Saccharomyces cerevisiae S288C: one gene and its partners. The gene in region 3 interacts genetically with the main gene of each other region. Each region holds a gene or a part of one and is shown on either strand. Other genes may lie near its edges.

Evidence for each region.
Region 1: of LOG1 (region 3) and CPA2, changing one suppresses a phenotype caused by changing the other (phenotypic suppression), as found in Saccharomyces cerevisiae (one study listed by BioGRID).
Region 2: of LOG1 (region 3) and HAM1, changing one suppresses a phenotype caused by changing the other (phenotypic suppression), as found in Saccharomyces cerevisiae (2 studies listed by BioGRID).
Region 4: of LOG1 (region 3) and URA3, extra expression of one rescues a mutant of the other (dosage rescue), as found in Saccharomyces cerevisiae (one study listed by BioGRID).

The regions. Positions count from the first base shown.
Region 1 is NC_001142.9:626,672-636,409, forward strand, and holds CPA2 (carbamoyl-phosphate synthase (glutamine-hydrolyzing) CPA2), read right to left. Parts: upstream 6,271-9,738; coding exon 2,914-6,270; downstream 1-2,913. Other genes in the region: ECM27 (Ecm27p), read left to right, coding at 1-344; LIH1 (putative lipase), read left to right, coding at 669-1,655; YJR107C-A (uncharacterized protein), read right to left, coding at 1,786-2,022; ABM1 (Abm1p), read left to right, coding at 2,041-2,412; phosphatidylinositol-3-phosphatase YMR1, read left to right, coding at 6,944-9,010; PXP2 (Pxp2p), read right to left, coding at 9,184-9,738. UniProt on the Saccharomyces cerevisiae protein: Large subunit of the arginine-specific carbamoyl phosphate synthase (CPSase).
Region 2 is NC_001142.9:564,383-571,461, reverse strand, and holds HAM1 (nucleoside triphosphate pyrophosphohydrolase HAM1), read left to right. Parts: upstream 1-2,062; coding exon 2,063-2,656; downstream 2,657-7,079. Other genes in the region: GTPase NPA3, read left to right, coding at 1-495; LIA1 (deoxyhypusine monooxygenase), read left to right, coding at 864-1,841; RFC2 (replication factor C subunit 2), read right to left, coding at 2,758-3,819; YAE1 (Yae1p), read left to right, coding at 4,018-4,443; phosphatidylinositol kinase-related protein kinase TOR1, read right to left, coding at 4,634-7,079. UniProt on the Saccharomyces cerevisiae protein: Pyrophosphatase that hydrolyzes the non-canonical purine nucleotides inosine triphosphate (ITP), deoxyinosine triphosphate (dITP) as well as 2'-deoxy-N-6-hydroxylaminopurine triphosphate (dHAPTP) and 5-bromodeoxyuridine 5'-triphosphate (BrdUTP) to their respective monophosphate derivatives.
Region 3 is NC_001142.9:327,779-334,619, forward strand, and holds LOG1 (Log1p), read left to right. Parts: upstream 1-5,578; coding exon 5,579-6,316; downstream 6,317-6,841. Other genes in the region: BIT61 (Bit61p), read right to left, coding at 1-95; protein kinase IKS1, read right to left, coding at 340-2,343; ZAP1 (Zap1p), read right to left, coding at 2,653-5,295; Tim22-complex subunit TIM54, read left to right, coding at 6,487-6,841.
Region 4 is NC_001137.3:112,717-119,840, reverse strand, and holds URA3 (orotidine-5'-phosphate decarboxylase), read right to left. Parts: upstream 3,675-7,124; coding exon 2,871-3,674; downstream 1-2,870. Other genes in the region: PXP1 (putative indolepyruvate decarboxylase family protein), read left to right, coding at 1-1,224; protein transporter TIM9, read right to left, coding at 2,367-2,630; Arf family guanine nucleotide exchange factor GEA2, read right to left, coding at 4,041-7,124.

The DNA of each region.
Region 1 (9,738 bases), 300 kb from region 3:
GCGCATCTTGCTTAGGAGGCGTAATGCTGAATTCTATGGGTGGAATAGGCTTTAGTGGGCTAGTATCAATGCTTTTTATTGGCGCTTTTAATGATAACGAATGGTGGTTCCTAAGAAAGGTTAAATTACAAGAAACAAGTCAATTGGATAATACATTAAATTACAAATTCATAGTTTCTTGCGTCTTCATTATCCTACAGATTATTCTCTTGCTGTTATTCTTCGGAGGGCCTAACAATATTAAACGGCGCCTCACAAAGGAGATGAAGTTAGTCGGAATCTCTATGTGCGGACTATGGGCACTAGCCACGTTGATTAATATACTTCTAGAACTGTTTAGCTAAAGCTTGCAAGAGTGCCTCCCGAAAAATTTGTTTTTGTGACATTTATCTGGCGCCGTAACAGATCCGCGCAGAACACAGAACACCAAGAAAAGAAGTACTATTTAATTTCAAGATTACTTAGACTCCGTCATTCAAATCGCCCTTTTATTCAAACAAAAATGGGCCATATATTCTTTCTGTCTCAACCTTCGTTTCCTTGGATGAATTATTTTGATTGAGCTCCAAAAAAAAAGTTGTAGCCAGGAACTATCCAAAACTTCGATTGAGAAACCCATAACAATGATGCCTGCCAGACTTTTCATACTATATCTTTTTGTAGTACTCATGCCTGTTGTTCATTGTTCGTCCAACCTGCCCATCACTCCATATATCTATGAGCGTCTAGTATATTTTATTAAGGCAAGCTCTATATCAAGCTGCATATCTGACAACTTACTTCTTGTTAATAAAACCTTCAACGACGGAGGTTGTCCACCACATATTAACTTCTGCAATGATGAGATAATTAACCCAACAGCGGGTCAAACAGTGGTTGAATTAGTTCTTAATGCAAAAAAAGGTGAATTAGGCTCGGGTTATCTGGCTGTTGACCACGGAAAAAAGGTTGTTATTTTAGCATTTAGAGGATCCACAACAAGACAAGATTGGTTTAGTGATTTTGAAATATATCCTGTTAACTATTCTCCCCTTTGCGTTAAGGAATATCGTAAGCTTATAGAGGAAGGAAAAATCAGAGAATGTGAAGGTTGTAAAATGCATAGAGGATTTCTAAGGTTCACAGAAACTCTCGGGATGGACGTCTTTAAAAAAATGGAGTCGATTCTGGAAAGCTTTCCGGAATATAGGATCGTTGTCACTGGGCACTCCTTGGGGGCAGCATTAGCAAGTTTGGCTGGGATTGAATTAAAGATAAGAGGCTTTGATCCGTTAGTGCTGACATTCGCAACACCAAAGATATTTAACAGTGAAATGAAACAATGGGTAGACGAGTTATTTGAAACAGATGCTATAGAAAAGGAGTCAATTCTTAAAGATGAAATTCAATTTCGTAAGGGCTATTTTAGGGTTGTGCATACAGGTGATTATATTCCTATGGTTCCACCATTCTATCATCCGGCTGGTTTAGAGATGTTTATTAACAAAGTTGGTCTACCTCAGAATGCGGAAGATATTGAATACCGTGGTAAAAATAACAGGTTAACTTTAAAGGATGGATTTCGAGAGGGTATGAGCGGTTTGGTTGAAGACTGGTTACATGTCTATGAACATCGAGCCTACTTCATTGACGTAGTGGGATGTTCTGGACTTTAACATTCACCCACTTTTACGTTTTTGTCTATAACTAGCATATATAATACCGCTCTAGAGTTACTCTAAACTAAATGCGACCACTATTCTTAACTAATAATTGTTCTTTTTACAAATAACTCTTTCAAAACTTCTAATCTTTTCTCTTACGTTTTCCATTTATCTGCTCTTCTTCTGAAACTCTTTTTCCTGCATTGGCCCTCTCTTTGTTACATGAAAGAGGTTTTAGGGTTGGTAATATTTCTGGTTGTAAACTTCTTGAATACACTTGGGTAGCTAACTGCTTATTCCAGTTCTCCTGGCCACTAATCCCGGCTACGCTTTTGTTGAAATAGTATTCTTCTACAGCATCATAGCTATCATCACACATGTCTACTAGTTTCCACGTATGTCTTGGAGGTACTCTATCTTGACCGTAGATGGAAGCTTTAAAATTTTCATCCCTTGGGAAATATTCCTCACGTGGAATTTTTTGAGCGCTGCATGGCTAAATTCTACCGAATCCAATACGTATATCCACTACTCAACATGTTGGGGCACAAGTGATTACACACTTAATATCTCTGTCATAGAAGCTACTACAGAGAAATTGGTTGACACTAGATTATTAACAACACTCGAGAATGCAACCGCTTGGATTAACTCAAACTCTATTGATGAAGACGAAGATGATATGCCTCATGCCACTAACGTAGCAGACCGGCTTGATGGGTTATCCCTTAGCAAGCGCGTATATAGCATCTGTCACTACGAATTTTAGTGCGGATTCTCTCCGTAGCGTAAACGTTCTCTATACATCATCTACCCATGTTGCTCCACCTAGCAGAACATTTCAGAAAGAAAGAAGTCCAAGTAATGGCCAACAACCAGAAGGACAGCTTTTTTTATGAAGGCCCCCTACTGCATATTCATTAAGCTTAAGCTTGATCGGTGAAAAATGCTATAATCTACGTGTACTGGTCACATTGTTGCACATCTCAATTAATCAACGCTCTATTATTATACGGAAGATATAAAGGCATAGTAAATACACTTGCCTGAGGTATTGATTGATGAATTATTTTCCACGGCCCATGCGTTACTCACTTCGAAAATACATTTGAATTTTAGTGATAAGTTTTGCGATCTACTTTTGTTCAAGATAATAATACTGGGGTAGAATATACACTAAGAAGTCTCTTTGAAATTAAAAATATCTCTAAAAAAATCCATTATATAATATACAGTAATACAATTAGAGGCAGGTTTTTCTTTTGCACAATCAATATGCTTTGAAACCAATAAATTCATCCCAGGAACGGACTTCTGGTGGAACTATAACGTCATGAGATTCCAAAATTTTGATCTTTTCTGCAATTTTTGCCTTCAAACACTTTGCAAATAACAAAGCCGTTTGAGGTTCATTGAACAATGGGATAGCAAAATCAATAGCATTCCTTCTCATAATATAGTCAACATCGTCAGTGCTCTCAGCTCTCTTGGAGGCTAAATTGAAAACAGCTTTTATGTCATATTCTTGAAATAGTTCACGCAATTTTCTCTTATCATTCTTTGGAAATTTAATCAAAGAAACCTTTGCGTTCTTTTCTTTGATGTGTTCCTGTAGATACGTTTTAGTGGTCTCATTAGTTGTGTATATTCTGTAACCAATAGTGGCCACTATGGAAGCCACTTGGCCCAAGTATTCTCGAGATGTATCACCTCCAAATAATATACCACTTGGAGGTAGTGGTACATGGAAGTTCATGGTACTTTGAATAGCAGTCCAATAGCTTTCAATTAAATCTCTACCAAATGAAGCAACTTCACCAGTTGATGCCATTTCAACCCCTAAGAAAGGATCTGCACCAGCCAACCTTGTAAAGGAAAATTGAGGAACTTTAGTAGCAACATAGTCGTACTTTTTGTTGAGCATCAAATCAACAGGTTTTGGTACAATGTCACCGCCCAAAAATGCCTTGACAGCAATTTCAATAAAATTAACGCCTAAAACTTTTGAAACGAATGGAAATGATCTAGAAGCTCTAATGTTACATTCAATCACTTTCAATGTATGCTCCCCATCCTTGATGATTTGCATATTGAAGGGGCCAGTGATCTTCCAAGCTTTTGCGACCTTATCAGCAATGTCTTTTAGGGCAATCTTCACATCGTCAGAAAGATGTTGTGGCGGTAAGACTAAAGAAGCATCACCGGAGTGCACACCCGCATTTTCAACATGCTCGGAAATGGCATGTACCAAGACATTACCATTATAAGCAACGGCGTCCACATCAATTTCTTGAGCACCTTCAATAAATTTAGACATGACGACTGGGTGGTCTGGAGAAACGTCAGATGCCAAAGTTAATTTAGCCTTCAGTTCCTCCTCATTATTAACAACACTCATTGCCGCACCGGAAAGAACATATGAGGGACGAATCAACACAGGGTAGTTAACTTTAGAAGCAAATAATTTTGCTTCTTCTACTGATGTTAATTCACTCCATTCAGGTTGGTCAACATCAATAGAATCCAAAATAGATGAGAATTTGTGTCTGTTCTCAGCTCTATCAATATCGTTTGGATTGGTACCCATTATATTACAGCCGTTATCGTAAAGTTTCAAGGCAATGTTTTGAGGTAATTGACCACCGACAGAAATAATGCAACCCTCAGATTGCTCCAACTCATAAATGTCCATCACTCTTTCATACGATAATTCTTCAAAGTATAATCTATCAACTTCATCGAAATCTGTGGAAACTGTTTCTGGGTTATAATTTATCATGATAGTTTTCTTGCCTTGATCTCTTAATGTCTTCGCGGTGTTCACGGCACACCAATCAAATTCTACAGATGAACCAATACGATAGACACCAGAGCCTAAAACCAGCATACCATTTTCGTTGAACTCCACATCGTTCTTTGTAGCATTGTAAGTGGTATACAAATAATTGGTTTGTGCTGGAAATTCTGCGGCCAAAGTATCGATTCTCTTGACAAAAGGGATTATACCTAACGTTTTTCTTAAACTTCTGATTTCCAGTTCGTTAATGTTTGTGGAGGCGTGTTTATTTATAGTAACCGCAATCTGCTTATCTGAAAACCCTAATTTCTTGGCTCTCTGCAAGAGATCTTTACTCAAGTCACTTAAAGATTTAACTGATTCAAGCTCTTTATAGATATTAACAATGTTCATGCACTTGTAAAGAAACCATTTATCAATTTTACTCAATTCATTAACTCTCTCAACAGTATAGTTTTCATGGATTAAGGCCTGACCAATGGCAAGGACTCTTCTATCAGTTGGAGTTCTCAAGGCTTCATCAAGTTGATCGCCGAATTCAGTAGAACCTTGGAATCCCAATAATGATGGATCCACCTGTCTTAATGCTTTTTGAAAGGCTTCTTCATAGTTTCTACCAATAGCCATAACTTCTCCAACTGATTTCATAGAGGAACCAATGGATCTGTCCACGTATTGGAACTTAGAAAGATCCCACTTAGGTATTTTTGCCACAATATAATCCAAAGATGGCTCAAAGTTAGCCACTGTAGTTTTTGTGATTGGGTTTGGCAATTCTGGCAAAGTATAGCCTAGCCCAATTTTGGCGGCAGTGTATGCTAAGGGATAACCAGTGGCCTTAGACGCCAATGCAGAGGAACGAGATAAACGTGCGTTCACTTCAATAACTCTATAGTCTAGCCCATCAGGTTGCAAAGCGTATTGGACATTACATTCACCAATAACACCAAGGTGTCTAATGATTTTAATTGCGGCGGATCTTAACATATGAAACTCTTCATCTGATAGGGTCTGCGAAGGAGCAAAAACCATAGAATCACCAGTATGAACACCAAGTGGGTCGAAATTTTCCATATTACATACTGTAATACAGTTACCAACCCTATCTCTGACCACTTCATATTCAACTTCTTTCCAACCTTTCAAAGATTTTTCAACAAGAATTTGTGGGGCCAACGACAAGGACTGTGCGGCAAGTTCCTTCATTTCACTTGCATTGTTAGCGAAACCTGAGCCTAACCCACCCAAAGCGTATGCAGATCTGACAATAACTGGGTATTTGACCCTTTCAGCAGCCTCCAAAGCTTCATCCACGGTTTCACAAGCAAATGATTCTGCGATGGGAATGTTGATATCCTTTAACGCAGATGCGAAAAGATCCCTATCTTCAGAAGTGATCAAAGTTTTGATAGGAGTACCTAAAACTTTGACGTTGTATTTAGCCAAAACACCAGATTCATCCAGAGCCACCCCACAATTTAGACCTGTTTGACCACCGAAGGTTAAAAGTATAGCATCCGGCCTTTCAAGTTCAATGATATATGTGATGTATTCTGGTGTAACGGGCAAGTAATAAATCTTGTCCGCCAGGGAATGAGAAGTCTGGTTAGTAGCGATATTTGGGTTAACCAATATAGTAAACTTGTTATCTTCCTTCAGAGCTTTGATAGCTTGAGAACCACTGTAATCGAATTCACCAGCTTGACCAATAGAGAGCCCTCCTGATCCAATGACAAGTACAGAATTTACTCCTTCAACTAATTGAGGTTTGTAGTCCTCGGTAGTAAAAGCAGAATTCGTAGGCTCTGTTGATGTATAAATCGATGTCATTCTTTTCTTCCTGTCTATGTACTGTATTGCTCTTCCTTTATAGAACTAATTTTAACTATAGATGTTAGTTTTTCGATGCTTAAACTTAAATAGCGCTTCAAAAAAGAGATAAGGCATACTATAGAAGACGTATTAGTAATTATATATATACAAATAGCATGGCAGAAATGCTTATGACGGAAAAAAAAAGATTGGATTTTCTCGATGCTTACTCAAGGTGACACAATCGTTACGACATGGAGGTTCCTATCTCTGATATTCAAAAGTTATTGCCATCTCATCAATAAGAGTCATTCACAATAATCTATAGAATGCCGCAGGAAAGAAGACAGTGGTGGATGAGTCATTTTCTCAACCCTAGTTTACAATCTGAATGTTTAGGGGATTTACTATTTTTAATTAGGACATTTGAATATTTCTGATAGGGTAAAATCACTTTTTAGGGTTTCTGATTTTCTATTTTCCTCATTTTTCACAATAATAACAATGTTGCCATTCTTTTATCACTACCCTAAATGTACCAAATATTAGTAAGAAAAGAAACATTATAAAGAAAAGGAGGTTTTACAAGGGTCACTTGGTGAGATTAGGTCGTCGTTATTATTTTTATTTTGTGGGCGGGGTGTAATAGTGCTAAAAAGAGGGAAAAGAAATAGTATACCATTCCGCAAAGATGGAGTACATCAAGATTGCCAAAGTATCTAATGTAGTGCTGCATAGAAGAGGTACGGCCACACAAGGTACTTTACATTTGACTACTCACCATTTGATCTTTGAGTCACCACAATTGTCGACGGAATTTTGGTTTCCATATCCTTTGATCTATGGAGTGCATAAAAACCCGGGTAGTACATTACTGTCCAAGTTGACTTCCACTAATCAAATCCAATTGGAGGGAACGGATTCACAGAATTACAAGCTTTACCAGGGTAAGGATCTATGGTCTTTTGTAAATATCAAGGTAATTGGGAAAGATTATGCGGTATTCTCATTGGATTTCGGTGGTGATTTACATCTACAGGCAAGAAAGGTGTATGATTCCATCTTAAATTTGACGGTCCTGTCCAATATCACGCAACTATATGCATTTATTTACATATCCAACAATCTGGAAAGGAAACTACCTTCACCCGATAGCTGGGATATATATGACCCAATTAAGGAATTTCGAAGGCAGGGCCTCGACAGTAAAGATGAAACATGTCCTTGGAGGCTATCCACGGTAAACGAACACTATGAATTTTGTCCAACGTATCCCTCAAAACTTTTTGTACCAAGATCCACGTCAGATATATTATTGAAGCATGCTTCGAAGTTTAGATCACAGAAAAGAATTCCTGTTTTAACTTATCATCACAAGGCAACAGATTGCAACATTCTTAGGTCATCTCAACCATTACCGGGGTTGATCAATCAGAGGTCCATTCAAGATGAAAAATTAGTTTGGGAAAGCTTCAACTCATTTTGTAATAAAGATATTAGAAGAACGAAACATGTAATAGTAGATGCCAGACCCAGAACAAATGCATTAGCACAGATGGCGTTGGGTGGCGGGACAGAAAATATGGATAATTATAATTTTTTTTTAGCTGATAACAATATGGGTGTCGATAAAAGTCTAAAACTGCCCACAGTTACACGGTTATTTCTTGGTATAGATAACATTCATATTGTTTCCAACACAGCTGCATACATGACGGAAGTTATCTGCCAAGGTGGCGATTTGAATTTACCACTGGAACAGAATTTAATTAGGAGTCAAAAATTTTCCAATTGGTTGAAGTTGAACACTCTTATTTTAAAATCCGTTGATATGCTTTTAAAGTCCATCATTTTCAATCATTCCAACGTTTTGGTTCATTGTTCTGACGGTTGGGACAGAACCAGTCAAGTTGTATCACTATTAGAAATTTGTTTGGATCCTTTCTATAGAACTTTTGAAGGTTTTATGATCCTAGTGGAAAAAGATTGGTGCTCTTTTGGTCACCGGTTTTTGGAAAGAAGTGGTCATTTAAACTCTGATATTAGATTTCATGATAACACTATGCATTCCAACTTCAACGATGTGGATACCAATGGCGATGATCTTGACATAGGTGTTAACACTCAAGACGATTATGCTGAAGATGATGAAGGAGGTGAAGATGAGACGAATTTAATTAATTTGAGTAGAATTTCCAAAAAATTTAACGAAAACTTTAAATTGAACAAGAAAAGTCTAAAGTTCGTCTCCCCAGTTTTCCAACAATTTTTAGACTGTGTATACCAACTTTTGACGCAAAACCCAGATCTATTTGAATTCAACGAAAGATTTTTAAGAAGACTAGTTTACCACTTGTATTCATGCCAATATGGAACATTCCTTTCCAATAGCGAGAAGGAGAAATTTCAACAGAATTTGCCAAACAAGACTAAAAGTGTCTGGGACTACTTCAGATCTAGAAGAAAGCAGTTCATAAATCCAAATTTCATACAGAGAAAAAGAAGCGGCATGAATGAGCACGATCAAAACCTTGAAGAGGAAGAAAAAGTGGAGTGGATTTCGCCGGATCTGAAGAAAGTCCAATGGTGGTGGCAGTTATATGGAAGAAAAGATTCAGAAATGAATGATGAATTACGCCATAAACGAGACTCAGTACCCATATCGGTGGATAAAAAGAGTAAAGAGCATAGTAATTCCGATGGCGGTAAGGGTTTAAATTTGTCAATTTTTGGATTTGATATGTTTAATAGAAAGTGATCTGGTTAACGGCAAAGAAGACAAATAAGTGAGTTAGTATTTTGCATACAATGATAGAAGTATAGAAAAGTTCAAGCATTTCTCCGTTGTTAGTATACATATATATATATTAATTTTAATGAATAAGGGTACATATATTATGAGCATAACGAGTGGCCGATCGGCAAAGGGGCTTACAATTTTACAACACCAGATTTCCAACTAACACCACACCACTGAGATATTAGTATAGCCAATCCTCTCACTGCCTCCACAGTTTCCTTATCACAACCAATATTCAAGGCACCTTTCAAATGCCCACGCAATTGAGGATTAACATCTTGTGGAACCAAAGAAGCAATTATCACTAAACTTGTCTCTTGCGCAGATAGTATCTCATCAAAGGCAAACAAAGGGCCATATACATGGACCAGTGTATAATACCATAAGTCTGGGTACGAAGAGTTTAGATTGTTTACCACGCGGGTTGAGACTTTGTTGTATATTGAATTCCAATGCCGTAAGCCGTTCTGTATGGTATGATCTCTTTCCTGGATTGTCTTGTCATGCTTCCTTCTCATAGAGGTTTCCGAAAGGGGAGAACTGTTTCCCATGGCAGCCTCCCACGGGTCTATTGGGTCTAAGTGCGGTACTAAAATGTCCGGAGTAGTTTCCTTTAGCATAGTCAGGCCATTGATCGCTCTTGGAAGGCCGGCCAGAGGTCCTGTTTTAAGAATAACTTCTCTAAA
Region 2 (7,079 bases), 240 kb from region 3:
TCACTGATGCTTGAAGAATTCTATTCCCAGCTAGACGTCGTGGGCGTTTCCAGTTTTACCGGAGACGGATTCGACGAATTTATGCAATGCGTAGACAAGAAAGTTGATGAATACGACCAATACTATAAGCAAGAACGTGAAAAAGCATTGAACCTAAAAAAGAAAAAGGAAGAGATGAGAAAGCAAAAATCATTGAATGGCCTGATGAAGGATCTAGGGTTAAACGAGAAGAGCAGCGCTGCAGCCAGCGACAACGACAGCATAGATGCCATTAGCGACCTCGAAGAGGATGCCAATGATGGTCTTGTGGATAGGGATGAGGACGAAGGCGTTGAGAGAGAATACACGTTCCCAGGCGAAGAAAGAACAAAAGGTGAGGTCAACGAGAACTCTGCTCCAGACCTACAAAGGAGATATCAGGAAGCTATGCAACAAGTAGGGAAAACGGCCAGTAGCGAGACTGCAGAAAATATCGCGAAGTATATTAGAAACTAAATAACTACGTATAGTCCTTTGGTTCGGCGATCATTCGACCCGCAGAGAAAAAAAAAGACAATGGAATTGCAAAGACGAACGTCAGATAAACTCCCACGTTTATTATCTTTTGAACAATAGAGGTAATCCTTCCACAGAAATCCCTGTAGAATGCAGTGAGAAACAAGAAAAAAAAAAAATTTTTTTTTTTTCTCTATCCTGCGTGGGAGGAAAGAAAATTTTTCTCGATGAGCTGAAAAGTTTTTATCATATAAATTACATAAGGCAAATCCAGTGAATACACGTGTATATTTGACGGTAGCTCTAGGTTTAGGTTAGGATAAACTGTAGTCCTTCTAACATACCACGCAAGAAAGAAAAAAAAAAACATGTCTACTAACTTTGAAAAACATTTCCAAGAAAACGTCGATGAATGCACTCTAGAGCAACTAAGGGACATCTTAGTCAACAAGTCCGGCAAAACAGTTTTGGCCAACAGATTTAGAGCTCTGTTCAACTTAAAGACTGTTGCTGAAGAATTTGCCACTAAGCCAGAGGAAGCCAAAAAGGCCATCGAATACATTGCCGAATCCTTCGTCAATGACAAGTCTGAGTTGTTGAAGCACGAAGTGGCCTACGTGTTGGGTCAAACCAAGAACTTGGACGCTGCTCCAACTTTAAGACACGTTATGTTAGATCAAAATCAAGAACCAATGGTGAGACACGAAGCCGCTGAGGCTTTGGGTGCCCTAGGTGACAAGGATTCGTTGGATGACCTAAATAAGGCTGCTAAGGAGGATCCACACGTTGCTGTGAGAGAAACCTGTGAACTGGCCATTAACAGAATCAACTGGACCCATGGAGGTGCCAAGGATAAGGAAAACTTGCAACAATCCCTATACTCGAGTATTGACCCAGCCCCACCTCTACCATTAGAAAAGGATGCTACCATCCCAGAACTACAGGCCTTATTGAATGATCCTAAGCAACCTTTGTTCCAAAGATACAGAGCCATGTTCAGACTGAGAGATATCGGTACTGATGAAGCAATCCTGGCCTTGGCCACTGGTTTCAGTGCAGAATCCTCCCTTTTCAAGCATGAAATCGCCTACGTCTTCGGTCAAATAGGTAGTCCGGCTGCTGTCCCAAGTTTGATTGAAGTTTTGGGCAGAAAGGAAGAAGCTCCAATGGTTAGGCATGAAGCTGCTGAAGCCTTGGGTGCCATTGCTTCTCCAGAAGTTGTCGACGTCTTGAAATCTTACCTCAACGATGAAGTCGATGTCGTCAGAGAATCTTGTATCGTTGCGCTAGATATGTATGATTACGAAAACAGCAACGAACTAGAATATGCTCCAACTGCTAATTAGAAGAATCAGCATCATCAATAATGATAGTAACAATAATCATTGTATAATCTTGTATTTTATACTTTTCAAAACCCGCCATTTCCGTTATATATACAAATGTATCAAATAGCAAAAAAATTATTTATTTTCGAAACCGTTCTCTCGAGCTTCAGCTTTCAACACTGGTCTTCAAAGCATAGGAAACACTCACATAGAGATATCTAAAAACGAACGATAGCAGAATGAGCAACAACGAAATTGTATTTGTCACTGGCAATGCCAACAAGTTAAAGGAAGTGCAGTCGATTTTGACTCAAGAGGTCGACAACAACAACAAAACCATCCACTTAATCAATGAGGCCTTAGACCTGGAAGAATTGCAGGACACGGATCTGAATGCCATTGCGTTAGCTAAGGGAAAGCAAGCTGTTGCGGCCTTGGGTAAGGGTAAGCCAGTGTTTGTGGAAGACACTGCGTTGAGATTTGACGAATTTAACGGTCTACCAGGTGCTTATATAAAATGGTTTTTAAAGAGCATGGGATTGGAAAAAATTGTGAAAATGTTGGAACCCTTTGAAAATAAAAACGCTGAAGCAGTTACCACCATTTGTTTTGCTGATTCTCGGGGTGAATATCACTTCTTTCAAGGTATTACAAGAGGCAAGATCGTTCCAAGCCGGGGACCCACTACATTCGGCTGGGATTCAATTTTTGAACCTTTTGATAGTCATGGACTGACTTACGCAGAGATGAGCAAAGACGCAAAGAATGCTATTTCTCATCGTGGTAAAGCCTTCGCTCAGTTTAAAGAGTACTTGTATCAAAATGACTTTTAGGTGATGTGCTGAGAAGATAAGAGGAATTATGGATAGATTTTTTTTTTTTTATTCTTACTTTATGTCGCCTCTATATTCAATTATATAAAGATGCCTGTATATTAGAGTTGGGATATTTTAACCAATAAGTTTAATAATTGGATGTGCTCGTTCGTTCCGTTGTTTAATCTGGAATCCGTAGTAAACAGCAACCAAGATATTTGATTTTTGAAGTTCGTATCAAAGTTATCGTTGGTGATGTAATATTCATGTAGTTGGTTAACTACTGACGCAGCAGACCAACCGCTTTTCATAAACGTATTGACGTATTTCTTAATCTCATCAAAATCACCACTTTTGACTTTTTCAACAATTTCTATTAGAATGTCATGAGGTACCACACCAGCTAATTCTTCCACTTGGGTAGAAGTTATGTTTTTACCATCACCCAAGTATTGCGCCCCCTTGGAAGCGGATTGTAATAATGTAATGCCTCTTCTCAAGTCACCTGCCGAAATGTCCAAGATCCTTTCCAAAACTCCATCATCACATTTAACATTTTCTTGTTCGCTGATAAACCTCAAACGGTCAATGGCATTACTTGCGTCTAGGGCTTTGAATCTAAATTTGGAACAACGGGACGCTAGCGGGTCAATAATTCTTGTCACATAATTACAAATCAAACAGAATCTTGTTACTCCTGAATAGGTTTCCATTGTTCTACGTAATGCACTCTGTGCATCGGCAGTCATTGAATCGGCCTCATCGAGAATAATGATCTTATACGGTGGGCACGGATAGTTCTCCAAGTCATGTTTGCTAGGCTTGGATACAGTCAATCTTGCAAAATTTTTTACCTTTTCTCTTACAATAGAGATACCACGTTCGTCAGAAGCGTTCAACTCCAATATTCTTGATTTCATCAAGTCGGGTCCATATAATTCTTTTGTTAGCGCTAAAATGGTAGACGTTTTACCAGTTCCTGGGGGACCATAAAACAACATATGTGGTAGATTAGCTGACTTTAAGGTTTTCTTCAAAACAGTAACGGCATGATCTTGAGCTGTCACTTCATCTAGGTTTTTGGGCCTGTATTTCTCAACCCAGGGTTGTTGTGCCAATGATTGCTCTGCGGCTAACTTTGATATCTTACGCTTTTTATTTGGACCAAACCCTTCAAACATCTCAAGTGATTGCCAATACTTTCCCCCAGTATTTCTCGCTGTCTCTCTATTTTACTTCTCTTATAGCATTGACTTGTTCGCTTGAGTTACTTCCTGATTGCTTTGAAATACGCGAAGTAAAAGAGTGAAAAATAACGATGAGAAAGGTTTTTGATAGAAGAGAACAAAAAAGGAACAGTGTTACAATAGTATATAGAGATGTCGAATACTTGGGACGATGTATGGGCATCAGACAGTGATGTCGAAACTGAACGATCTCCAGATTTAGTGAAGTTAAGAGAGAATCATAGCAAGAGGGGGTACTTGGACGGAATAGTGAGTTCTAAAGAAGAAAAGCTGCAAGAGGGTTTCAATGATGGTTTCCCAACGGGCGCTAAATTAGGGAAACAAGTTGGCATAATTATGGGGATTTTACTTGGCCTACGAACACGTTTTGGTGATGAAGATGAGGACCTCAGTAAGGCATATATTGATGCTCAAAAAGAATTACGCATTAACAAAGTACTTAGTAAGTCCATATTTGATCCAAACTTTGACTTGCAAGAAAAACATCCGCTCATAACAAAATGGACTGATATTGCCAATACCTATTGTGAAAAGTACCATGTGCCATCTATCCAATAAAGTTGTTTTAAATGGAGTTGATTTCACAATTTATGTACCTTATATCATCCTTCATTTCACATAATGACGAGATATTACAAAAATAATGATAATAATAATAATAATACACAATACTTGCACACGTATACAAATGCGTAATACAAAAAAAATAAATAGTAAACAAAGCACGAAATGAAAAATGACACCGCAGTCACCAGAATGGGCACCATCCAATATAATGTTGACATAACCTTTCAATAGAAGTGGCTTGTTGGATCAGTTTATCAACCTGCTCAGGGACGTCTAATTCATTGAACCTCTTGATATCATTGCCCGTTAATTTATCTGTAATACGTCTCAAAACAAGCATTGCTCTGGCGTTTTTGGTCTCATTTTGTTGTTCTGCTTCCATATTTGCCGCTTCTTCGACAGTAATTGCCCCCTTCCTTAATAATTCACTAGGATTAATCAACGGCAAAGGAATTCCAGTTTGCTCAGTAAGTTTTTGTGGCGGTAAATCAAATCCCCAATGGATCAAAGGATCAAGCGCAAAAGCTTCCAAGATCGCCATTAATGATTCTTTATTATCTCTTAAGACTCTCATGACATTTTCACAAGTAATTCGGAAACTGCCTTCAATTCCACTAACTTCCATTGCGTATGTTAACATCCTAGTTAGTCTAAATGGCACTTTTTCTGGATACTTTTCTCTTAAGATGGCAGCTTCAAAACAATCGCCGAAATCAATGTGGATAACTTTACCGGTGATTCTATCTAGCATCAGGTTGCTTGGATGGCGATCACCTAGTCCCAGAATATAACCAGTCATGGACATAACTGCTAAAGATCTCGTATAAGTTGTTCTACGTTCTAGCCATGTCTCTGACGACCTACTCTTTAACCATAATATTTTATAAAGGTCTTGGCCTTTTGTATTATCTAAAGCGTACGTGAATACTTCAATTTTTTGTAAAAGAGTCAAATTCTCATAATCGGGGGCCATTTGTAACATAACCCAATGTTCAATGTTCAACGGAATTTTTTTGGCATCACGGTGTTCTCTGATCAAAACGTGGAATGTGTCACTATTTGGTACCCATCCTAGTAAACCAGATTTAGGCGACAATGGAATAGCCGGGTATTGTTGGATATCCAAATGTCTCTTGAAACACTCTGAATCATTCTTCAACAAAGTGTTAACTAGACCAAATAATTGCATAACAAGGCTATCTTGTCTTATATCTTCATGTCCCTTTAAAACGTATTTATAATCTTTACCGTCGCTACCCTTGATGGAGAATTTTCTTGGCCTTTGCTTCGAAGAGATCACAGAAAATAATGGCTCAAACTTCGCTATTCTAATGGTAGGTTTTCCTGGGAAATATGTCCCAGGAACAGCCAATTCGAGATCATGAGTAGCCAGAAGCTGGGGAGAAACATGCTGTAAGTCTAAGGTTTGTAACTGTGGTATTTGACGTGTTATTTTTCTGAAGACGTTATAATAAATATCCCAAGCTTGGTTCAAATTATTGATGTCTTTTGACTTTTTGTAGTTATTCAACCATTCGTAGGCATCGTTCAAATCTCTACCAAATGATTTCTGAAACGATACCTCACTTAACGTTTGAGGCTCATTGCCTAAGTGTTTATGTAAAGGTTCTAAAGTAGAAAACATTTTTTCTATGTTATGTTCAACGAAAAATTGGCGGCTCGCATCTTCCAGTCCTTCATACCATAATTCGTGCCATAGAACGGCTACTCTGATCAACTCGTGACTAACTAATTCTGCCTGGTTTACCAGGACTGGACTATGAATCCTAATTTTCTCTATTATTGAAAGAGCCGCTTTTTGTCTTGAAACAGATTCAGACTTGATCGCGACAGTTAAAGGATACACGAGAGCTTGTGGATGAGCTTTCCCTAAATCAGAAAGCAACGACAAAAGGGAATTACTCACCGTAGGATCTGGCTGATGTATACGAGAGATCAACTGTGGTAAGACTTCAAGCCAGTTCTCTATTTTCATCAAATTGAAGCCTTCATACATGGCTTGTGAGACTTCTTTAATACCACCAAAGTTAAATAAAAGAGTCAATAACCTCAACGTGTCTTGCAAACAACTTGTTTCTAATAGAGATATTGAATGAAAAAAGCCCTTGATCGCTGGAACAACATGTCTTTGAATAAGCTCTAGCGGGTATCTGTTGCCATTAATAGTCAAAGAACCACTTCCTAGGATACTACCGTCAATCCGCACATTATCATTATTAACTGCCGTGTCATCATCATCATCATTCTTACCTCCGTTGAGCTTAGTCTCTTCCTGAACCATGGATATTACTTCAAAATTAGCTAAGGCCCAATTATGCCATGCCTTGTACCAATTTTTATCGAAATGTGTAGCCAATAGATAAGAACCAAGAATTGCATCCGGATTTGTGTTTCTCCAGTTCGGTTGTGTTGCTATTCTCCACTCACCTTGCTTTAAAAAACATCGAGCTAATAATTTTGTGTATTCCTCAACATACGGAGCAGTACTTGCACTTGAGAGTTTGACACTTTGCGCGATCATATTATTCGGATCCAAACCAAGATCATGCGCTAACCTGGATGTAAATCCTATCAAGTGGTTTAATGCTTCTTTATAAGCTCCTGTA
Region 3 (6,841 bases):
GTGGCTAATTGCACATTAAGGTATTGTTCGCTATTGACAGGGCGTTGTGTCGTAGTAGATGTTCTTTCTCGAAGGAGTATATCTTCTGCTGTCATAATGAAAGAACTTTATTTCTACAGAGGTCAATTGGCGTTTCTGTCACCTAGATCTTTTCATTTGGTTATTCCCTCTATAAATTTACTCATCGGTCAATTTTTCTAACATTATGCACCTTTGTCACCGGCCCTTAGAAGAGGTGAAGATGATTCGTGAACATTGGTGATAAGCGAGAATATTTTCTATAAATTTGTAAAGTAAAAATAAATTACGTGCTATTTAGTTTGCAATGTGTACTTATTGTTAGTATATGTATTTTTTGCATGCGGCGATGAAGGCCAGTAAAACCAACGCTCTTGCATGCTTACCTCTTTCATCAGCTGGTGATTTAAAAACCATTCCCAACAATATCAGTGACATATAAGAGAGCCACGACCCCGTTTTGGTACACTTAAATATGATTATCGTTAATATCATAGAAACTAGTTTGTAACAAACCTGGATTGTTCTATTTAAAGCAGAATACTTTTGGAGGTTTTGGGTTGATACGGTGCTCAAATTTTCCTCTGGTGCTGGTAATGATAAAGTAACGTTGTCTCCGTCAATATAATCATCAGTAAAACTGTTGGTATTCTCATTCACTTCCGAGATTGTACTGAAGTTCAAAGTGCTATCCACATTTTCTTTCCAGAATTTTTTGCCGGGTTTGGAATTTATTAGCATTTCATCTAACGTCTCCTCCACTGTCTTCGCTGTGGGTCTAGCATCATTATTTGGTTGTAAAAGAGCGTCCATTAGGTGAAATATTCTACGGTCTATTGGTTTCAATTTCATCGCTTGATGCTTTTCAATCATACCTTCAGTGTCGAACCTAAAATTTTTGATGCGTACCTTCAAATCAACTATATCCAACTGTGGTTCAAAGGGCAATTCACCGAAGACAATAAAATAGCAAATCATTCCTAGAGAATACATATCGGAAGCAAAGGTGTATTCATTGTATGTGTGACTCGATCTTGAAGGCAACGTAGAAGAAGAAACTGGTCTCCCCTGGATAATAAGGTCTGGTGCTGTAAACTCTAATGTTCCTGTGCAACCAGTACCCAATCTGGACTCTCCTTCCAACTGACTTTCCCCCAAATCGCCAATAACAATTGATGGGAAAAACTCATCTGAATTGTGTTCCCTGTCGTATACGTTGTCATTCTCATTGTCACTTTTAAATGGAGTCAATAATAAACAGTTGGATGGTTTCAAGTCCCTATGTATTAGGCCAATACTGTGCAGTTCGTGTAAACCTCTTGCAATATCCCTTATAATGGATACGAGCTGTTCCGTAGATAGGCCAACTTCTCCTGATTTACCGTGATTTTTCTTGCGAGTTCTAAATTTTTTTTTCCTCTCTTCAGGTGATTCGGTATCTGAGAACCTATTGAACACTTTTCTTAGAATACAGTCTTCTAAATTGCCGCCACTGCAATACTGTTGTAAAATGAAAATACAAGGAACTTCTTCTTGTGAATCCGATTGGCTCCCATCAATGGATCTGACAAATCCAACCGAAGAATCCATTTCGAGCCACACATGATTATACGTAATCAAATTGGCACTTTTGTGAGTTAGCGAACTCAACGCTTTCACTTCCCGTATGCACTTATTAAACCATTCCATATCATTTCCAATAGGTATTTTTTTTAGTGCAAAAACACCTAATTCAGTATTACCAATTGTGTGTACAACTTTGTAAACAGAACCTCTTGCACCATTTCCCAGCAAAGACAATATTTTGAAAAATTTACGAAAGTATCCGGGGATAAACAAATCATCTGGAATAAAGTATTTGTTTTTGCTGAACTGTCCCTGCTTATTGTTACTATCGTTTTGTAGGGCGTAGTGCCGATGATTTCTTTCCAATGACTGAAAATATCTTCTTGAAAAGCTTGAATTGGCAAATTCAAATCCAAGTGGCACAGTGTTCTCTGGAATACTGAGCCTACTGCTTTCTGATTCTACTCCAGCAGAGGCTCGACGATGAAGTTGTCTTCTGTTTATAATATCAGGGTTAATTTCCGTACCACATTGCGGGCACACATAGGAAGCAATAGGGCTTTTGTATTGATGAATCCCTGAAGGAAAGTCCAGTGCTGATAAAGATGCAGTCTGGTCTTCATTTAGTTCAGAGTCATTATTACTGTTGTCCTGTTGGAAAAATGATAAAGTTCCTGAGGTTGGATTAACAACCACCACTGATTTAGAATTAGGATCATCTAAAATCAGCGAACCTTCTTCATATGGTACTAAACTCATTTCTAAGTTCTACTTATGCTATCCCTCAAACTATATATCTAATAGTGTTTCTTCGGTTACCTAGTTGTCACTCATAGGATCTATATATACAATGTCCTTCCCCCCCACCCCCTTTTCTGAAACGTATACAAAAAATAAAGCTTGAAATACGTTATTACGTAAAAAAAGTGTACTGTAAAAGCTTACAAAAAAGAGTTTGCGAAAAATTATAAATAAAAAGTAGTCTAGGTAAAATATGAAATGTTTCTAATTATGCATTTATGTGATCCTGAAAACCGCCCTTCTTACGTTGGACCATGATGATCACATTTATAAATATGGTTTTCTTTCCAATGCGCATTTCACTTTCTGTGAGTTCAATTTTCCCAAATCGTCAAAGCTTTTGGAACAGTCAGAGCACTTGTATTTTTTCTGATGGGTCTTAATATGTTTGCTCAAATTTGACGATTCGTTGAATCTCTTACCACAAATCTTGCATTGTAAAGGTTTTTCACCAGTATGGGTTCTTATATGAATCTTCAAAGAACTTGAAATCGCGAATTTTTTATTACAAATGTGACATTTGTAAGGTTTTTCGCCAGAGTGTGTCCTGGTATGCTGAACTAAAGTTTCTTCGCTTGAAAAACACCTTTTACATGTCTTGCACTTATAAGGTTTGTATTTCGAATGCACTTTTAAATGACGGATTAATTTTTGTCTTTGGGGGAACGTACGATGGCAGTCATGCCACAAGCATTGGTATTCAGACTTACCCCGGGTTAAATGTACTGCTTCTAAATGGTCGTTTAATTCCTGAGCACTGGAAAATGACTTATTGCAACCATCCCATTGGCAAATCACCTGTTCCGGCTGCTTGATTGGCGGTATATTGGAAACATCATTTGCAGACGTCATATCAGGTGCTCCATCTGCTTTAGAAACTTCGTGTGTTTGTGGGTTGGGGCAATGTAGTAAGTGATGTTTTTCCTTTGATATACTACCAGGCAAAAATGAGTCTGGGTTGGCAAATTGAATATCAAAATTGATACCATGTTGACAATTAATATGGTTCACTATGGAACATGTATCATCTCCAAGGAAATCACAGTCCTCCCAATTACAAGCTAATGGTTCCATAGGGTGTTTGAAATCTTGAGAGACATGATCCTTCAAAAGATGTCTTTGTAGGTCAAATAGTGAGCTACAAGACTCAGGACATTCTTTCCATTTGCATTTTAAGTCATTGTTTTTCTCTTCTTTAAAACACCAGTTGAAATTTATAGTGCTTGTTGTCTGTATAGGAGGAGAGATGCTAGAAGGTAATGAGTCTTCCAAAGAGCTGAAATCAGTAGATTCTAGATCTTTTGTAGGCCAAGATCTACGATTTTTCTGATTCTGATGAGTGACTTTGGGTAGCGAAGGGGGCTCACTTTGATTTCTAAATCTTTCATAACTATACTCTCTTGAAATTAAGTCATTTAAATCGTTGTTAGTTAGATCGGCTGTTGTGTTCGCCGCGCTAATCCCTGAATTGTTCACAATATTGTTTCTATTTGGTTTGTGAGAATGAAACTGTATTCTATGGTGATGGTGTTGATGATCAGTTGAAGTTGCTCCAGCCGTATTGTTATTGCTTCCATTAAGATTATTTTTAGGGTTGCATCTATTAATGCTTGATAATAGAAGATTCATTGTTTGGTTACCGTTTTCATTATTTCCTGTGCTCGAACCATCGCAGCCGTTACCGGCATTATTGTGGTCGTGGTGGTTAATGTGTTTTCCAAACGGTACTTCATACAAAGAAGAAATATTGCATAAATCTTCCAAAATCTTCAAATCCATATCAGTATTTAAGATATGTTCGTGATAAGCATGATTTGTACCTTGCAAAGTGTTTGTAGGTTTTCGTAAAGATGAACATTTGGGTGGTAGTTGAGGTGGCTTTGACTCTAAATGCATATGCTTAGAACAAGGTTGATTATCAGTGCTCTCCTCACAAAATTTGCAGTATTTATGGAAAACGTCATCATTATTTGATGATTGATGATCTTGAACAAACTTGTGACCACTAGTCGCGCTCGTGCTAGCCGTGCATGGGGTGTCACAGGTCAAATCGCAATCAATCTCCGATAAGTGAGACATCAGCTGAGAAAAGCTATCTGGTACAGTATTATTGTGATTGTGAGAGTCGTGATTGGTACTATTACAGTACTGATCATGAAGGTTAAAATTTGGCATCAAGTGATCGTTCTTTACATCTGTGAATATTGCAACATCATTGCCGTTCTCAGATATGTCTTTCTTTGTCGGTTGATCAGATTCACCTTGTTTTATATTAGCCTCACTTTTGGGATGAGTTTCGTCACAACATATTTCCAAAATCTTGGGCGTACAATAACAATCATCGGATCCAGGTGGTGGGTTCGGTTTATTTTTCTTGGAAGAGGGCAGCAGTATCAGATCGTCGTTAAACCAAGAATCTTTTCTACGTGGTAGGTCGCTTTTAGAATTCTGTTGGGGACTTGTCGGATCAGAAGCTACCGAATGGAAATTGTTTGCAAAAGAATGATTATTAGAATTATACGTTGCAGTATCATTATATTTTGTTAATGACGGATTATTGTGATAATTCAAGAACTCGAAATGTTGGCAGTCGGTGTACTCCTTGCATTTCTCATTGACGTGGCAATCACCACCCATATCATGGCTAGCTCCAGATGCAAATGCGGAAGTAGCGGCATCAGCAACAGCTGCGGCTGCAGGTGTTGCCGAAGCACTACTGTCGTTCACAGGCGCGCTGTGGTGAAGGTGACCATGGATATAGGTCAGGTTGTTGTAGTTATGGATGTGCCCGTGGACAATGCCTTCTTTACCTATCGTCAGAGCATCAGGCTTGGCAGAAGCAGCAGTGGCCGCACTCGTGGCCATCGAGTCATCGCGCTTGGGGGAGTCCCTGGGAGTCAACGCATCCATTAGTTCCTATCCTTCTTCTATTTAAAAAACCGTAACACATAAAAAGTAAAAGTGTAATGCTTCCGTCTCGCCGCTGGCCTATATTCACAGTGACTGCAGTTGCATCTTATATTGCCAAGCACGTTTCATCATGACCTTTAGGGTAGATGACTGCTGTCAACTACTCCGTCTGCAGTGATATATAATCATGTTTTGGGCGTTTAAGGAAGGAGAATTATTTCCAACAGTTGAATAGGAAGATCCCTAGAGTAAATCGCAGGCAATCCAGTACTAAGAAACGGCGATGACAATGGAAAAAAATGGAGGTAATAGCAGCCGTGGTGGCCAAGTAGGCGGCAAGTCTGTGTGTGTTTACTGCGGGTCTTCATTTGGCGCTAAGGCGCTATACTCAGAAAGTGCAGAAGAATTAGGAGCCCTTTTCCATAAGCTGGGATGGAAATTGGTATACGGTGGAGGCACTACTGGTTTGATGGGCAAGATAGCAAGGTCTACGATGGGACCTGATTTAAGCGGACAGGTTCACGGTATCATTCCAAATGCACTTGTGTCTAAGGAAAGGACAGACGAGGATAAAGAAGATGTTAATAAAGCATTGTTGGAGTCTGTAGAAAATCATAAGGGCGCCACTCCTATTTCTGAAGAGTATGGGGAAACAACGATTGTACCAGATATGCATACGAGAAAAAGAATGATGGCAAATTTGAGTGACGCGTTTGTTGCTATGCCTGGTGGATACGGGACTTTTGAAGAAATCATGGAATGTATCACGTGGTCGCAACTGGGGATTCATAATAAACCAATTATCTTGTTCAATATCGATGGGTTCTATGACAAATTATTGGAGTTCCTCAAACACTCTATTCAAGAACGGTTCATCAGTGTGAAGAATGGTGAAATCATTCAAGTTGCCTCCACTCCGCAGGAAGTTGTTGATAAAATAGAGAAGTACGTCGTTCCAGAGGGCCGTTTCAATTTGAATTGGAGCGACGAAGGTCACGCTCACGAGGATTGTGCTAAATAATAGAAACGTAAGTCATGTATCTAGTTTAAACGATCTGTATAGATAATGTGGTGAAAAATCCAAATTTTTAGGAGCTGTCTTTCTAAGCCCGAAGGCTGGAAAAAATAGTACTGATGGCAAAGACATCATAGCTTTAAAGTCCATTGTTCTCAAAAGAAGCTCAATAGACCATGTCTTCTGAATCAGGAAAGCCTATTGCTAAGCCTATTAGGAAGCCTGGCTATACCAATCCGGCTTTAAAAGCCCTTGGTATACCCGCCTTGAGGCTGCCTTCTCGAAACTGGATGATCTTTTGGTCTGTGTTAACAGTATCCATCGGTGGCATAGCCTATGACAAATACAAGCAACGTCAGATTCTGAGCCATGCAACAGACTTGGTGAAGCCTTTGGCAGAGGAGTCCATGGAGGTAGACAAAGTGCCACGAAAGATCACTGTTTTTATTGCACCTCCTCCAAATGATTATCTGGAGAGTTCGTTGAAAGTTTGGAGACGATATGTTAAGCCTGTACTGTATTATGCAGGGT
Region 4 (7,124 bases), on a different chromosome or scaffold from region 3:
TCTTACATAGACGTCCCTGCAGATTTTATTGAGTATGAAAAACCCTTAGAAGGAAACGACCGTACAGGAAATGAATTACCGATGATATTAACTCCAAACATATGTGGCCCTGATCCGTCGAAGATCAAAAAAGTCGTACAGCTTATTTTGCAACATAAAAATAAAAATATTCTGATTGTTATTGGAAAGGGTGCGGTAAAAAACTCACACGAAATCCGCAGACTAGTAAATACGTTCAATCTACCATTTTTACCCACCCCAATGGCTAAGGGAATTGTCCCAGACTCTTCTCCACTGAACGTTTCATCTGCAAGATCTCAAGCATTGAAAATAGCGGATATTGTTCTTGTTCTCGGGGCAAGATTAAACTGGATATTGCATTTTGGTACTTCACCCAAATGGAACTCAGAATCCATATTCATCCAGTTCGATTCCAATCCCGAAACCTTGGGGGATAACAATGTCTCACCTGGTGCTGACCTTTCCATATGGGGAGATATAGGCTTGAGCGTAACCGCTTTAGTTGAGGAATTGACTCGCCAAGATTCCTGCTGGAAGTATAGTGGTGTTAAGCAAGAAATACGAGAGAAAATTCAACTGAATCAAACTCGTCTATTGAGGAAAGAGAAGACTAGAGGGGCACAATTGAATTACAACCAGGTTTATGGAACATTGAGGCCTCTTATCGATGATTACAGGACAATACTTGTGACGGAGGGAGCAAATACTATGGATATTGCGCGTATTTCATTCCCTACAGACGCTCCAAGGCGCCGTTTAGACGCAGGGACCAACGCGACTATGGGGATTGGGCTCGGATATGCTCTTGCATGCAAGGCATCTCATCCGGAACTCGATGTGGTGCTGATTCAGGGTGATTCCGCATTTGGATTCTCTGCCATGGAAATTGAAACGGCAGTAAGGTGTCAGCTGGCATTGGTCATCGTTGTGATGAACAATAGCGGTATTTACCATGGAGAAAAGGATATAGAGGGTGATTTACCTCCAACGGCACTAAGCAAGAACTGCCGTTACGATCTCGTAGGCAAAGGACTGGGTGCCAATGATTTTTTTGTCAACACAATAAGCGAACTGAGCAGATGCTTCCAACAAGCCGTGCAGCTTTCTCGGACTAAAAGAGAAACAAGTGTCATCAACGTTATCATTGAGCCTGGCGAACAAAAGCAAATTGCCTTTGCCTGGCAGAATAAACCGCGTTTATAGTAAATATGCATGTATATATATATATATATATATATATATGTTCATCTCTCTTATAGATGTCAATCTAAATACTTACAACACACATTAATGAATACCTCGTATACGTTTAAGGGCAAATGTACTCTCGCAGAAGGAAATATTGCAAGTAACTTGGATAACTAAAGCCGAGTTAAAGATCTGCCAATTGAACATAACATGGTAGTTACATATACTAGTAATATGGTTCGGCACACATTAAAAGTATAAAAACTATCTGAATTACGAATTACATATATTGGTCATAAAAATCAATCAATCATCGTGTGTTTTATATGTCTCTTATCTAAGTATAAGAATATCCATAGTTAATATTCACTTACGCTACCTTTTAACCTGTAATCATTGTCAACAGGATATGTTAACGACCCACATTGATAAACGCTAGTATTTCTTTTTCCTCTTCTTATTGGCCGGCTGTCTCTATACTCCCCTATAGTCTGTTTCTTTTCGTTTCGATTGTTTTACGTTTGAGGCCTCGTGGCGCACATGGTACGCTGTGGTGCTCGCGGCTGGGAACGAAACTCTGGGAGCTGCGATTGGCAGTGGAACAGTGGTAATTCCTACGATTAAGAAACCTGTTTACAGAAGGATCCCCACCTATGGGCGGGTTATCAGATATTATCAGGTGGGAAATTCGGTGGAACACAGTGGAGCCTTGTCCTCCGGGTTAATGTCGCTTTTGGCATTGGCCCCTGCTCCTGAGAGAAGAAATATACTGGGGAACCAGTCTTTACCGACCGTTGTTATCAGAAATTCACGGAGTTCGGCCTAGGTCGGACTCCGATGGGAACGGCAACGGTTGTTCCGTTTGACTTGTCGCCCGCTACGGCGTGAGCGTCAAGGTCTGTTGAGTGCAATCGTAGGACGTCATTAGTGGCGAACCCGATACCGATTACTGCTGCTGTTCCAGCCCATATCCAACTTCCAATTTAATCTTTCTTTTTTAATTTTCACTTATTTGCGATACAGAAAGAAAAAAGCGATAGTAACTATTGAATTTTGTTTGGATTTGGTTAGATTAGATATGGTTTCTCTTTATATTTACATGCTAAAAATGGGCTACACCAGAGATACATAATTAGATATATATACGCCAGTACACCTTATCGGCCCAAGCCTTGTCCCAAGGCAGCGTTTTGTTCTTGGAAACGCTGCCCTACACGTTCGCTATGCTTCAAGAACTTTTCTGAGCACTTCATGATGCATGTTTGTTCCTTATTGGTTAGCTTTGATGTTGTGAAGTCATTGACACAGTCTGTGAAACATCTTTCTACCAGATTAGAGTACAAACGCATGAAATCCTTCATTTGCTTTTGTTCCACTACTTTTTGGAACTCTTGTTGTTCTTTGGAGTTCAATGCGTCCATCTTTACAGTCCTGTCTTATTGTTCTTGATTTGTGCCCCGTAAAATACTGTTACTTGGTTCTGGCGAGGTATTGGATAGTTCCTTTTTATAAAGGCCATGAAGCTTTTTCTTTCCAATTTTTTTTTTTTCGTCATTATAGAAATCATTACGACCGAGATTCCCGGGTAATAACTGATATAATTAAATTGAAGCTCTAATTTGTGAGTTTAGTATACATGCATTTACTTATAATACAGTTTTTTAGTTTTGCTGGCCGCATCTTCTCAAATATGCTTCCCAGCCTGCTTTTCTGTAACGTTCACCCTCTACCTTAGCATCCCTTCCCTTTGCAAATAGTCCTCTTCCAACAATAATAATGTCAGATCCTGTAGAGACCACATCATCCACGGTTCTATACTGTTGACCCAATGCGTCTCCCTTGTCATCTAAACCCACACCGGGTGTCATAATCAACCAATCGTAACCTTCATCTCTTCCACCCATGTCTCTTTGAGCAATAAAGCCGATAACAAAATCTTTGTCGCTCTTCGCAATGTCAACAGTACCCTTAGTATATTCTCCAGTAGCTAGGGAGCCCTTGCATGACAATTCTGCTAACATCAAAAGGCCTCTAGGTTCCTTTGTTACTTCTTCCGCCGCCTGCTTCAAACCGCTAACAATACCTGGGCCCACCACACCGTGTGCATTCGTAATGTCTGCCCATTCTGCTATTCTGTATACACCCGCAGAGTACTGCAATTTGACTGTATTACCAATGTCAGCAAATTTTCTGTCTTCGAAGAGTAAAAAATTGTACTTGGCGGATAATGCCTTTAGCGGCTTAACTGTGCCCTCCATGGAAAAATCAGTCAAGATATCCACATGTGTTTTTAGTAAACAAATTTTGGGACCTAATGCTTCAACTAACTCCAGTAATTCCTTGGTGGTACGAACATCCAATGAAGCACACAAGTTTGTTTGCTTTTCGTGCATGATATTAAATAGCTTGGCAGCAACAGGACTAGGATGAGTAGCAGCACGTTCCTTATATGTAGCTTTCGACATGATTTATCTTCGTTTCCTGCAGGTTTTTGTTCTGTGCAGTTGGGTTAAGAATACTGGGCAATTTCATGTTTCTTCAACACCACATATGCGTATATATACCAATCTAAGTCTGTGCTCCTTCCTTCGTTCTTCCTTCTGCTCGGAGATTACCGAATCAAAAAAATTTCAAAGAAACCGGAATCAAAAAAAAGAACAAAAAAAAAAAAGATGAATTGAAAAGCTTTATGGACCCTGAAACCACAGCCACATTAACCTTCTTTGATGGTCAAAACTTATCCTTCACCATAAATATGCCTCGCAAAAAAGGTAATTAACATATATAGAATTACATTATTTATGAAATATCATCACTATCTCTTAGCATCTTTAATCCTTTTCTACATCAGATAACTTCGGTTTGTTATCATCGTCTGTATTGTCATCAATTGGCGCAGTAGCCTCAATTTCAACGTCGTTTGACTCTGGTGTTTGTTCATGTGCAGATCCATGAGATGATGAACCGTTGCCCTTCTCAATACTCTTCTTATCAAGTATTAATTGCTGTAGCTTTTTTTCAATATCTGAGTCCTCTACAAATTTATTGAAAATACTCAAAATTTTCAAAAACGTTTCGTTGCTTGTCTTCCCTAGTTTCAAATAATGCAAATAAACATTTGAAATTATTGTTAATATGGATGAAATGAGGATTTTCTGGTCTTCCTGTGTTTCACTCGAATTTAGCAACGGTAGTAATCCGCCCTCAATTAATTCTTCTACCGATTCCATCTCATTAGTTGGAATTTCGATTTTATTGATGAGCGTCTGCTCTAGCGTTACCACTGCAAATTCACTTATCTGCTTACACGGATTGATGCATTGATGTGCCAAAGCTTGAATAATAGCGAATATCTCGTTTTTACGCAGATCGTTATTATCTTCCAGCAAGTGTGATGTTAGTTGAATGGATTTCAATGATAATTCGATCGATTTCTTGTATGGATTCTCCTTATCAATTTTATGACCACTTTCTGTCAATTTCTTGTATTCTATTTCCCAGTGATTTCCAACGGCACCCATTGATGAAATTTCATCTAATAGTCCTAGGACCCACATGAAGTTCTCATTTGTCAAAATATTGCTGTCTGTCTTGATCGATTCATTTAAATATTCAAAAATGCTCTCGCTCTGCTCTTTCATTGCTGTAACTTTTCTTAAAAATTTCCAAAAATTCTCATTTCCTAGTAAAAATCCTCTATAAAACTCTGATTCGGTCAATGAAAATAGTCTCTTCAAAAATTCCTTACCTTGATTAGTTGCAAAAAATTTTTGGGTAAAAATATCCCCCTTTTTTAACAGCTCATCGTTTATTAATTTGGACAAGTACTCCGTCTGATCCGCACATAACGAAATTAACAAAATTTTGTATGTTAGCATTCTACGAACAGTCCTTTTCGTGAGGCCTTTCGTGTGAGAAAGTTGGAAAACTTTTTGAAGTATGAACTTTCCTAATTCTTTCTCCTCTTTGCAAAATAGAAATAATGCAATAGTCAATTCGATGATAAATAAAAGTTCTGCTTCAAAATACCTGGAATTATCTGCGTTTTTCTCAGTTTTGGCGGAGTCTAGTAAAGTTTTTATTAAATCCGCTGTTATATTTGATTCATTTCCAAAGACAGAGGCGGCAATATTACTCGACTTTATGCACTCCATCGCTTTTTTTGAGGATTTGATTTCCTCTTCTGTGGGTTCTTCATCACCTTTTAAATAAGAAGCAAATGTTGATAAGAGACCTTTGCTTTCTTTGCTCTTGTTAATAGAAATTTCAGGAGATGGCTTAGGCAAGTTGCTTAATTTCAGTCTTTTTTGTAAATCAGGGAAAATATCAGGAGACAAAATCAAGTCTTCGTACAATGTTAGTATAATATTAACAATGTTTAACCATAATTCCTTGGAGAAAATTTTAGGATCTTTGTTCCTGCGAATAATCCGGAAAAAAACAACTGTATTTAGTTGACCCTTAAATGATCTACCAAATCTAACAGCATCTGTACTAACCGGGATCTCAGTGTTAGTGTCTTCGAATTTAATTTGCACCAGTGGCATTGGGCCATATTCAAAAGCTAAAGTTGAAAGTTCATCGTCATGGCTTGAATTAATCAAAGTAGTGCCCTTAGCAATGGAGTTTAGTATATCATTAAAGAGATCTTTGAAGTCAAAAAATGCGGAAATATAGGAACATTTGTCCAAACTTGTTATCATTCTGGTAGATATATGGTCATCAGATGCAACTACGTAAATGTTGAATAAAGTACTGACAATACTTGGGCCAACTTGTTTAAAAATTGCTCTATCAAAGTTCAAAAGCTCCAAGGGTGTTAATTTATCCATGACAGATTGTGTGTCTTTTTTTATTTCAGTTATAACAGTAGTTGAAGATATCAAGTTATTCCAAGCATCTTCAAACCACTTTTCGTTGCCGTGGTGCTCTTCAGGCATAACAATTTCTTTATCTCTGATTGAACAGTAAATTCTATCCAAATACCAGAATGGGAAGTCTTTGTGATTACAGCATCCCTTTAAGTTACCAGAGTAATCTTCAAATGACATGTGTTCCTTCACTTGAGGGTTATGTAGGTCAGTGTTCAACATAATAATTGAATAACTTAAAATGAAAACAGAATCAGCGTCTGGTTGAACAGTAGAAATGTCATCCTCCGCGTTGTCACTGATTTTGGATGGATCGTAATCTTGATTTTCACAATACGCAGACGAGAAGGCTTCGATGATTCTTTCAATTTGTTGCGATTCACCAGGCAACCTAAATTTCGTCAACAAAATTCTAATAGCTTCATCGACCCTTAACCCTGAAAAATCAAACAAACGAATATATTCATTCAACAAGCTTACTTTGTCCGGATGGCAAAGTAGCAAACCGATTGTTTTTTTATTCATACGGTTGTTATTATTGAAAAGAAACTCCGCAATATCTTTATCGGAGTCGGAAGCAATGAAACCTTTTTCTATTAACATCGGAATACCCTTTTTGGGCTTTTCATTGAATGCATTGGTACATTCAATAAACTCTGTTTTACGGTCCCTCTTTTTTAAGATTTCCATTTCATTCTTTTGCCTGCCAAATTCTTCTCTGTCAATGTCCTTCATGTGATCGAACATATCATCGACTAGGGAGACCAATCCCTCAAGGCAAATGGGTGGTACACTTTCTGTGGTAGTTAAGGCGGATTCTGGTAAGGCCAATTTAGTCAAAGCCTTCAAAAAGTTTATGGAAACGTCTGCCCTATCGAGATTACAATCGAAATTGATAAAAGTAGAAGTAAAAAAAGATGGCGACCTAGTCCATAAGATGGATATTTGCTCAATTAGAAGTTCCTTTATTATTGATGGCTTGTTCTTATTTTCAGAACTCGAGTTATTTGCGGTACCATCATCTAAAAGAATAGAAAATATTCT